Linked DNA regions of Bombyx mori. The protein of the gene in region 2 binds, or shares a complex with, the protein of the main gene of each other region. Links are inferred from orthologs where the notes say so. Each region holds a gene or a part of one and is shown on either strand. Other genes may lie near its edges.

Region 1 (3,940 bases), on a different chromosome or scaffold from region 2:
TTATGAGAAATAGGGTCAAAGGTCAATAGGTGAAATACTGCACTGCAATAGAAACATTCAATACGTATCGTTGGGAAATAATTAGATAATATTACTCACCGAGGGCTCACACTTGTAACGCTCCATTTAAAAACTTTTTTTTTTATTGCTTAGATAGGTGGACGAGCTCACAGCCCACCTGGTGTTAAGTGGTTACTGGAGCCCATAGACATCCACAACGTAAATGCGCCTCCCACCTTGAGATACAAGTTCTAAGGCCTCAAGTATAGTTACAGTACAAGTATAGTTCCAATTAAAATATATTTTGTAACAGTTAATTTGGCAACACAAGTGCCAAGCTACAGATTTATTAACTGAATGTTGTTTATAATTGGAAATGATAAGGAACAACGGAGTACGTTAACTCGACAATCATTATTTACTGCGTAATTAATAATATTCTAGTGAATATTAATACATATGAATATATTTTAGTGATTTGGTTTATAGAGATAGCCAGTGGCGTAGCGAGGGGGGGCAAGGGGGGATCATGCCCCGGGCGCTATTCACAAAGGGGCGCCAAATGGTCCGCAAAACAAAAAATTGCTGATTTTTTTTTTATAATTGATTTCTAAAAAATATATTTTTAATTTAGTACCAATGTACTATAATAAATGTTAATTCGTAAATAAAAAGGAAAAAAGGGGAGTTTCCACGCGAGTTTAGATCGTTACGCCACTGCACATAGCTTATGTCGAAGATAACCTAGTTGTCCTTTATTTACATAGCCACAACTACAAGAAGTCTCGTTATAGTCATATTTTAATTACCGAAATTAATTGATGAAAAGAGTGGGAAAATTAAAGTTAACCGCAGGATGTGGCATCTTTGGTTTTTTTGTTGCCTAGATGTGTGGACGAGCTCACAGCCCACCTGGTGTTAAGTGGTTACTGAAGCCCATAGACATCTAAAACGTAAATGCACCACCCACCTTGAGATATAAGTTCTAAGGTCTCCGTATAGTTACAACGGTTGCCCCACCCTTCAAACTGAAACGCATTACTGCTTCACGGCAGAGATAGGCAGGGTGGTGGTACCTACCCGTCCGGACTCACACTATAATTTTGCGGGTTTGACTTTTATTACACGATGTAATATGTCAAGTACGTATTTCATTAGAAAAATTGGTACCCGCCTGCGGAACTCGGACACCGTTGCATCGCTAGATACGAATGTACCGGACGTTTATCCTTTAGGCCACGACGACTACAGGTCTACTGGCTTCTTCCAAAAACTCCATTGAGCTCTTAGTTAATTTCCAGCATTTTACCGAAACGTTATATACATCATTTCAGTTCATTCAACACATACATAAGGCTGGCAAGAATGAGTGAGAGAAGCTGAAGATCGTGCTCGGCAATTGGAGAGGCCTATTTTCAGCGTTGAACTACTATAAGTTGATGATGATGATACATAAGGTTAGCTTAGTTCCATTTTACATTCATTCACCAGCAAGGTTAAACATCTTTATTACAAAAAAATTGGTTGTATGAGCTTCGTTCCCTTTGTCTGTGTAGTAAATGAAACAAAAAATATGTGACAAGCACAGAGGTTAGAATTTGGCTAACAAGTTGATTGTTTGGAAGTGTTATTCGTTATTTATTTTGTTATATATTAGATGGTGTTAGTTTCATTAAAAAGAAACCTAATTCATTAAATTAGATTTAAGAAACAGAAAATGCCTTACGCAAATCAACCCTCTGTTCACATAACAGAACTATCTGATGAAAATGTAAAATTCGTTGTGGAAGATACCGAATTAAGCGTAGCAAACAGTATGAGACGCGTATTTATCGCTGAAACACCAACAATGGCCATCGATTGGGTACAGTTAGAAGCTAATTCCACCGTTTTGAGCGATGAATTCTTAGCACACCGCATCGGTCTCATTCCGCTCATATCAGACGACGTTGTAGACAAAATCAGGTACTCGCGTGATTGCATGTGTGTTGATTTTTGTTCCGAATGCAGTGTCGAATTTACATTAGACGTAAAATGCACAGATGAACAAACAAGACATGTAACAACTGCTGATTTGAAATCGAGCGATCCTAGAGTTGTCCCTGTTACATCACGACATAGAGATGAAGACCAGGCCGATTATGGTGAAGCAGATGAAATATTGATCATTAAGTTACGCAAGGGTCAGGAATTGAAGCTTCGGGCATATGCAAAAAAAGGTTTTGGGAAAGAGCATGCAAAATGGAATCCAACTGCTGGTGTGTCCTTTGAATATGACCCTGATAATATAATGAGACATACGTTATATCCAAAACCAGATGAATGGCCCAAAAGCGAGCACACTGAACTTAATGAAGATCAGTATGAGGCGGACTTCAACTGGGAAGCGAAACCAAACAAATTCTTTTATAATGTAGAATCATCAGGAGCTCTTAAACCAGAGAATATTGTATTAATGGGAATAGTTGTACTGAAAAACAAATTACTGAATCTTCAAGTGCAGTTAGCGCAAGAGGCACAAAATGATGCCTTAGCAATTAATTGATTTCATAAAATCTAATATTACAATAAATTTAATTAGATAATAAATGTTTTTGTAATTTAAGTTTACATTTTACCTTATGGTGTGTATAAGCCTTCATTTTTCAAAAGCTTAGAATGTTATACACAGTATTTCAGTCTGCAGTCTTTTTGAGAAAAAATCATACTAAAGTGAATGTTTCTGTTTCACATCAAAAACTAGTAATACTTGTGGAATGCAATTAAGAGGTTTATACACAACTTGCACAACATGAATACAACTTTAAACACAAATTAATACTACGGCCTTGTAATCACAAGAAACATATGATTTAATAATAATCTGCAGCTTTTTGCCTAAGAAGATACTCAGTAGCTACTAAATAAAAAAGGAAATTTTACTTTCTGATACATAGATATGGACAAAAAAATTAATGTTACAATAATTTCTGTTTAATTCATTGTACATATTAATTTAAGTAGTTAAACTTTCATAAAAGTATAGAAACTTAGAACCAATATTGTTTTATTATTATGTATACATAATCAATTAAAACATTTGTCACTTTATACACAGCAGTATTATTCTGTTGTTTAGAACAATTAGTGATGTGATCTTACTGCAAAAAACAATTCAAAATATTCATTAGATGTATATTTTTTAATTGCCCTTGTAGACAGACCAGCATACGGCCCACCTGATGGTGAGTGGTTACCGTCTCCCATGGACTTCAGCAATGCCAGGGGCAAAGCCAAGATGCTGCCTAGCGTGTTGAATAATATAAGTATTGGGTTCTTCAACAAATTTAAAAAGATTGAGAAATATGAAGATTAATAATTGTATTTATCAACTTATTTGCAGAATGCATGTTATTTAATTTAGTAAGCTTATAATATGATGTTAGCAAAAAGTTTGATACAACATTATATTTAAAAAAAATTGTAAAATTAATCCAAATTTTCAGAATATATATGGATTGGTCTCTAATATCACTCGTTGGCCACATTTTTTTCCCCATAATTATTCGCTGCCTAAGGGACTAGTTGGTCATAGACTGGTAGGTGAGCTCACGAGGCGTTGCCCCATCGACTGGGTGGATATGTAATTGGCAACCACCGCGATGAGGGCTATTGTGTCGCGCCGCTTTTTCAAAGCAACGTTCTGACGTGTTCTTAAGATACTTACGTATCGTTTCTGTATTAGGGCGTCGTGAAGATCAACATTCCTCACATACCACTGTGCTCCGACGGCTATCCTGCAGAAACGGGGATGACCTGGAGACAATTTATGCGTGGGCCGCGTGAGCGAACAATACCATGCATAGGTCATGTCAAGATATGCTAGTTACGAAGGGCCAATTTACTTCGGTTTCAAATCATGGGGAAGAGTCGACCGAGTAGTAACGCGACTCGGCCGCGT
Region 2 (5,520 bases):
TTATATATAAATAAATCGTTGTATGTTTCTGTCTGAAATGCAACATAAAATTATTTAACAAGCAGTACAAATACAGATATTATGTATAGTGACATGACTCAATTATGACACTTTCCGGTCATCGTTCTCATCGAACCCGTCGCTTGCGACGAAGGGCTCGACGAGTAAATTAACTCTCAGACACAGCCCACTGAGTTTCTCGCTGGATCTTCTCAGTGGGTCGCGTTTCCGATTCGGTGGTAGATTCTGCGAAGCACGGCTCTTGCTAGGGTTCGTGTTAGCAACGTCATCAGGTTTGAGCCCCGTGAGCTCACCTAATAGTTAAGGCGATGCTGATATAGCCTCTCAAGGCTATCAGCGTAGGTAGGAAAAAAAATATATATGACACTTTCACCATATTCCCAATAGAATAGAAAAAGTTTGCAGTAGGCCATGGAACCATTTAAAAGAGAAAGTACCTGCAAATTCTTCAGGTGTTCAAAAATAGAATAATTGTTTTAAAAACTTTTCCTACAGTATTTACTATTCAAATTAGTCAATTTTGACGGTTTTGTTACTTGACCGAAAATTATGTGATTTATTAAATACTTCTTGTGAATTGAGATAGTTCCTTACAAAGTGGATGTATAGATTTATTCTTGATAGACTGTATGTTAGTATCAAGTCATGAAAGCACACAATGTATTCTGTAAAAGTGATAGCAATTAGGCACATTTATGTATGTATATTCTTCTATCAAAATCACTCATCATCATTCTATACCTATTTCTGCCACAAAGTATGCATTCCAGTTTTAAGGGTTAAAGAAGTAATTCAACTTGATGTCTCAGTTAGTAATGCTATTCATGTTGTAATGTCTAAATTCAGTAATAACTTAACACTGGATGGACTATAAAATTACAGATACACCAATTTATGTATTTTCTTTATCCATCATGATACTTTACCTAATATTGTAATATCTCTAAAAATGAAATTGATACCTTTTGTCCGTTGTGGTATTCTCCACCAAACAGCACAAGCTCATTATTGATTGGATGTGGGGTGAGCGTTGCGTACGCTCTGGAGGATGGTGGCTTTTCGAGGACCTTCTCTGATGCAGCATATCGTTTAGCTTCCTCCCGTTCTATCTCAGCTATCACTTTAGCTATATCTTCCTGAAATATACATAATACAAAACTTCTATTAAAATTTTACTTGCTCTTTCTTCAGCTTTAGTTTAGTGACAAAATGACTTTTATTATCATTTACGTCATATCATAGAAGTAGTTTTTGTTATTATATTATCTCCAAATAATTAAAGCTAGATTAAATCATAAAAATATAAATTATTTCGAATTATTTAATTTTATGTTTTTCATGACTTTTACAAAATTTACCCATTTAAATAATTTTAGTAAGTTAGTTTCAATAACATTTAAGTTTATACTACTATATTAGATCCATTAGGGCGTAATTTCAGGTAACTTTTTGAGAGTTTCTAATAAATAGTGCGAAAAGGCATGGTCTAACCTCACCAAGATTTGCGAGTTCTTTTTTTAATTTGCTAGCTAGCTTTTTTTCAGTTTTTGCTGCGGTTTTAACAGCGCCACTAACTTTATTCTTATTTTTCTTTTTACCCATTTTAATGAAAAATAAATTAACTTAAATTTCTAAATATTTTATGAAACAGATTTTTAAGTATTGTGATTATTATTGTAAACAGTTTTTTTTTTCTTTTTTCATTGGCAATGGGAATACAGCCAAAATAATCAAAGCCATATCTGTTTTATGATTATAACTTTTAGGATGGAAGGGCTTGATAGAACATTTGATCCTACAAATACATTCTTACTGAGTTCAAGATTCCGTTCAAATTTTGAGTTCTTTGGACACATTGTCAGAAAGAAGATGACAATTTAGAATAATTGCTGGTAACAGGCAAAGTATGCGGAAGAAGGTTCAGAAGCAGAAGTCCAATGCTATGATTGCACTAGCTGCCTCTACTCTCAACACCTCAGTCCACGATGCCCTCCGGAAAGTCAAGGATAGGCAATGTTGGCGCAGGATAGTCCAAGCGAAATTATTATGGGACGCCATGACCCTCATTGTTGTGGATTATCGACGCAAAGAGGAGGTGACTAACCTTGTGGGTAATTTCTAATGCTGGACGACAATATGCTAAGCTGCTGTAAACATTTGATAAGATTGCTTTTTCGTCACGTATGAAAAAAATGTTTTAAATCCTAATGACTATTGCATGTTTATTAAAATAATAGAAGTCATGAGCATAGTTAAATGATAATATTATTTAGTCATATATGACTTGATACTTATGATCATAAATTCATTGACAGACTGAAATGTGCTCTGTGCTTGATGAAATTTTGACTTTTGACATTAATTTGACAGAATTTTCATTTTGCCAGCACAGTTTGCGATTAGCATTGTTTTAATTGATTACAATATTTTTAATCAAAGAGTAAACTGTAACGTAATAAATTATTTGATTTGAAGAAATTTAACGTGTACGTTAGTGAGATCATGATATCGAGGACTATTGTCATTTGATAAATTTATATACCGTCATTAATCTTGATATTATAGATATAAGTGTAAAAAATGTCTACACCTGGAAGTAGTACGGTAAGATATTATTCGTTCTTAAACGAAAAAGGTGAAATATCGTGATACGATATTTCACCTTTTTCGTTTAAGAACTTAAAACAATCAACAAATTGTGAGGTTCAAAATAATATTAAATTAATATGCAAGAATATGTGTTCTTACTGAAGTAAGTAGGTACATAAAAGGATAATATAACCAAATTTGATAAATTTTACCAAATCATACATAGAATGGTATCGTAATCATTTAAACAATAGTTACGATTTCACAGATATAATAAATTAATTTCTCAGACACCGGCCGCCACAGTACAGGAGTATAAAATAAGAGTGCCAAAGAATGTAAAGAAGAAGTATCATGTTATGAGGTTCAATGCCACATTGAATGTAGATTTTGCAAAATGGACTCATGTCAAGATGGAGCGAGAGAACAACAGCAAAGAATTCAAAGGAGCTGAAGAGGAAATGCCCAAGTTAGTATTAAGAAAATTCAACTCTTTGATGGTGATATCAAATAGATTGACTTAATAATCATAAATTAATTTTCTACATCATTAAAAATAAATGTGAAAAGTATGTCATAATTTTATGGCATAATTATTTAATATTAAGTTAATTCTGTAACTCAAAAAATTTGCATGCTAGCAGATAATAATACAAAGAATAGTCAAAAACTGGAAACCGGTTGGTTAACATTGTTGACACTAAAGACTGACACACCTTAAATTAAGGTTATTTACTCAATGCTTTAAAAAATAGATTTGCCATGAACACCCTTTATAAAAAGTGATCTTAACAGCTCCAAGATTATTGAATACTTGGGAATTAAAATACTACTACTATTACGTAATATTTTTGGTAATACTCGTCACACAAATCCAGATTTGGTGCAGGCTCGGAATACGGACGGGACATGCGTGAGGAAGCACGTCGCAAGAAATTCGGTATAATATCAAGAAAGTACAAACCGGAAGACCAGCCGTGGATCCTGAAAGTCGGTGGAAAGACCGGCAAGAAGTTAGTAATTAACAAATAACAATAACCTCTTCTGATATTGTTTGGTGGTTCCTTTACAACAAATGCACAAGAAATAATTTAATTTCACATGAGTTGGAACAATTTTTACACAACAAAAGATTTATCAGAATCGTTTAACCTAGAAAAAGTTCGAAGATAAAAATAAAATAAATAAAATTAAATCAGAACTTCTTCCTTTTTCATTAAAAGTCAATGATTGAAAACAGGATGAAAAACTGCATATAATTAAATGAAAAGTCTTGTGTTATAGACTAACGTGTGGTTATGCCTATTTGCTTGCTCTATATAATACTAATTAATATGTAACTGGTAATTTTCATATCATGTATTATCATATTTTTAGATTCAAAGGTATTCGTGAAGGTGGAGTATCAGAGAATGCTGCATATTATGTGTTCACTCACGCAGCGGATGGCGCAATAGACGCCTATCCACTCCAGGAATGGTACGGAATGTTCATGCAATATTTACAAAACATGAAAGAAATGCTTCTATTTTATTTAAAAATAATCTGAATGCTGTGTGTGAATCTCTGTTCCTTTATTATTATTTTGTGTTATTAATGTTCTTTTTTAATTGCTCAAATATAGTAGAAAAATGAAGGTAGTTAATTCTTAAGAAACTAAAAACTGAATTCTAACAGGTACAATTTCCAACCGATTCAGAGATACAAAGCGCTGTCAGCTGAAGAAGCCGAACAGGAATTTGGCAGGTAAGATGGTCCATGACATTTTTTTTATTTTTTTTTATTTGCTTAGATGGGTGGACGAGCTCACAGCCCACCTGGTGTTAATTGGTTACTGGAGCCCATAGACATCCACAACGTAACCACCGACCTTGAGATATAAGTTCTAAGGTCTCAAGTATAGTTACAATGGCTGCCCCACCCTTCAAACCGAAACGCATTACTGCTTCACGGCAGAAATAGTCAGGGTGGTGGTACCCACCCGCGCGGACTCACAAGAGGTCCTACCACCAGTAAAATTACTTGTAAATCATTTACTCATATTTTATACAGACTGTCATTCCCGAAAATGAAGGTGCTTTGTAATTATCCTAAATCCTTTGACGATAATGATCTAGAGCTTAAATGATTGTTTTTCGCACTGCATGTAACGATAAATATAATATAGGAAAAAAAAAACCAGATCATAATAGATAGTTGAACTTAAAATTAAAATATATTTTTTTATTGTTGTCTGCATATTTGAAGAATTGAGTACTTATGCTTTATCTAAATAGAAAAAAGACAAAACACTTTATTACATCTCTGTTTCAGGGCAACAGACTATTGTTATAAAACTAATAATTTGAAAAAAAAAGTTTATTTTTTGTACATTAAAGATATACGAGAATGATTACAATAACTTTATTGTTTGAATTATTTGAAAATTTATTGCTTTTTGGTCTCCGTCGCCCCGTATATAGTATATGAGAAAGATGGTTGGACCGAATCCATTGCTGTTTCTAGTGACATTTCAAAATATGTTTCATTGAAGTCGATGATCGATTTTTTTCTGCACTAGGCGTAACAAGGTTATGAATTTCTTCTCGTTGATGTTACGGAAACGGCTCCGCGGAGTCGACGATGCAGACGAAGAGGACCCAGACGAAAAGAAAGCTAAAGGGAAAGCTAAAAAAGGTACTCAGTTTCCGGTATTCAAAGCCAGAGGTGGGGTCAGCTGAAGCTGGTGATGGTAGGTCTTATGGTAAAATAAAGCAAGCACTTAAAGCGTAGTTGGTTTCTAACATCGTCAGCTGGACTTCGTACTGGTATGCTGTGCTTATAGCATTACATTACTAAAGCCACTGCGGGCAAGGGCTTCGCTATTAAGGGTGAGGTCAAAAGGTTTTTACTGGTGGTAGGACCTTTTGT

Evidence for each region. The genes of interacting proteins can lie anywhere in the genome.
Region 1: general transcription factor IIF subunit 1 (region 2) and DNA-directed RNA polymerase II polypeptide share a complex: the UniProt entries of both Homo sapiens proteins name them as parts of the TBP-based Pol II pre-initiation complex. The link is inferred for Bombyx mori from reciprocal best matches to the Homo sapiens genes GTF2F1 and POLR2C.

What each region holds. Positions count from the first base shown.
Region 1 is NC_085131.1:5,447,178-5,451,117, reverse strand, and holds DNA-directed RNA polymerase II polypeptide, read left to right. Parts: upstream 1-1,606; 5' UTR 1,607-1,717; coding exon 1,718-2,545; 3' UTR 2,546-2,576; downstream 2,577-3,940. Other genes in the region: L-threonine ammonia-lyase, read right to left, coding at 100-126. UniProt on the Homo sapiens protein: Core component of RNA polymerase II (Pol II), a DNA-dependent RNA polymerase which synthesizes mRNA precursors and many functional non-coding RNAs using the four ribonucleoside triphosphates as substrates.
Region 2 is NC_085121.1:15,714,721-15,720,240, reverse strand, and holds the start of general transcription factor IIF subunit 1, read left to right. Parts: upstream 1-2,341; 5' UTR 2,342-2,601; coding exon 2,602-2,625; intron 2,626-2,900; coding exon 2,901-3,079; intron 3,080-3,488; coding exon 3,489-3,623; intron 3,624-3,987; coding exon 3,988-4,089; intron 4,090-4,287; coding exon 4,288-4,356; intron 4,357-5,170; coding exon 5,171-5,286; intron 5,287-5,520. Other genes in the region: kelch domain-containing protein 4, read right to left, coding at 1-32, 984-1,157, 1,513-1,623. UniProt on the Homo sapiens protein: TFIIF is a general transcription initiation factor that binds to RNA polymerase II and helps to recruit it to the initiation complex in collaboration with TFIIB. It promotes transcription elongation.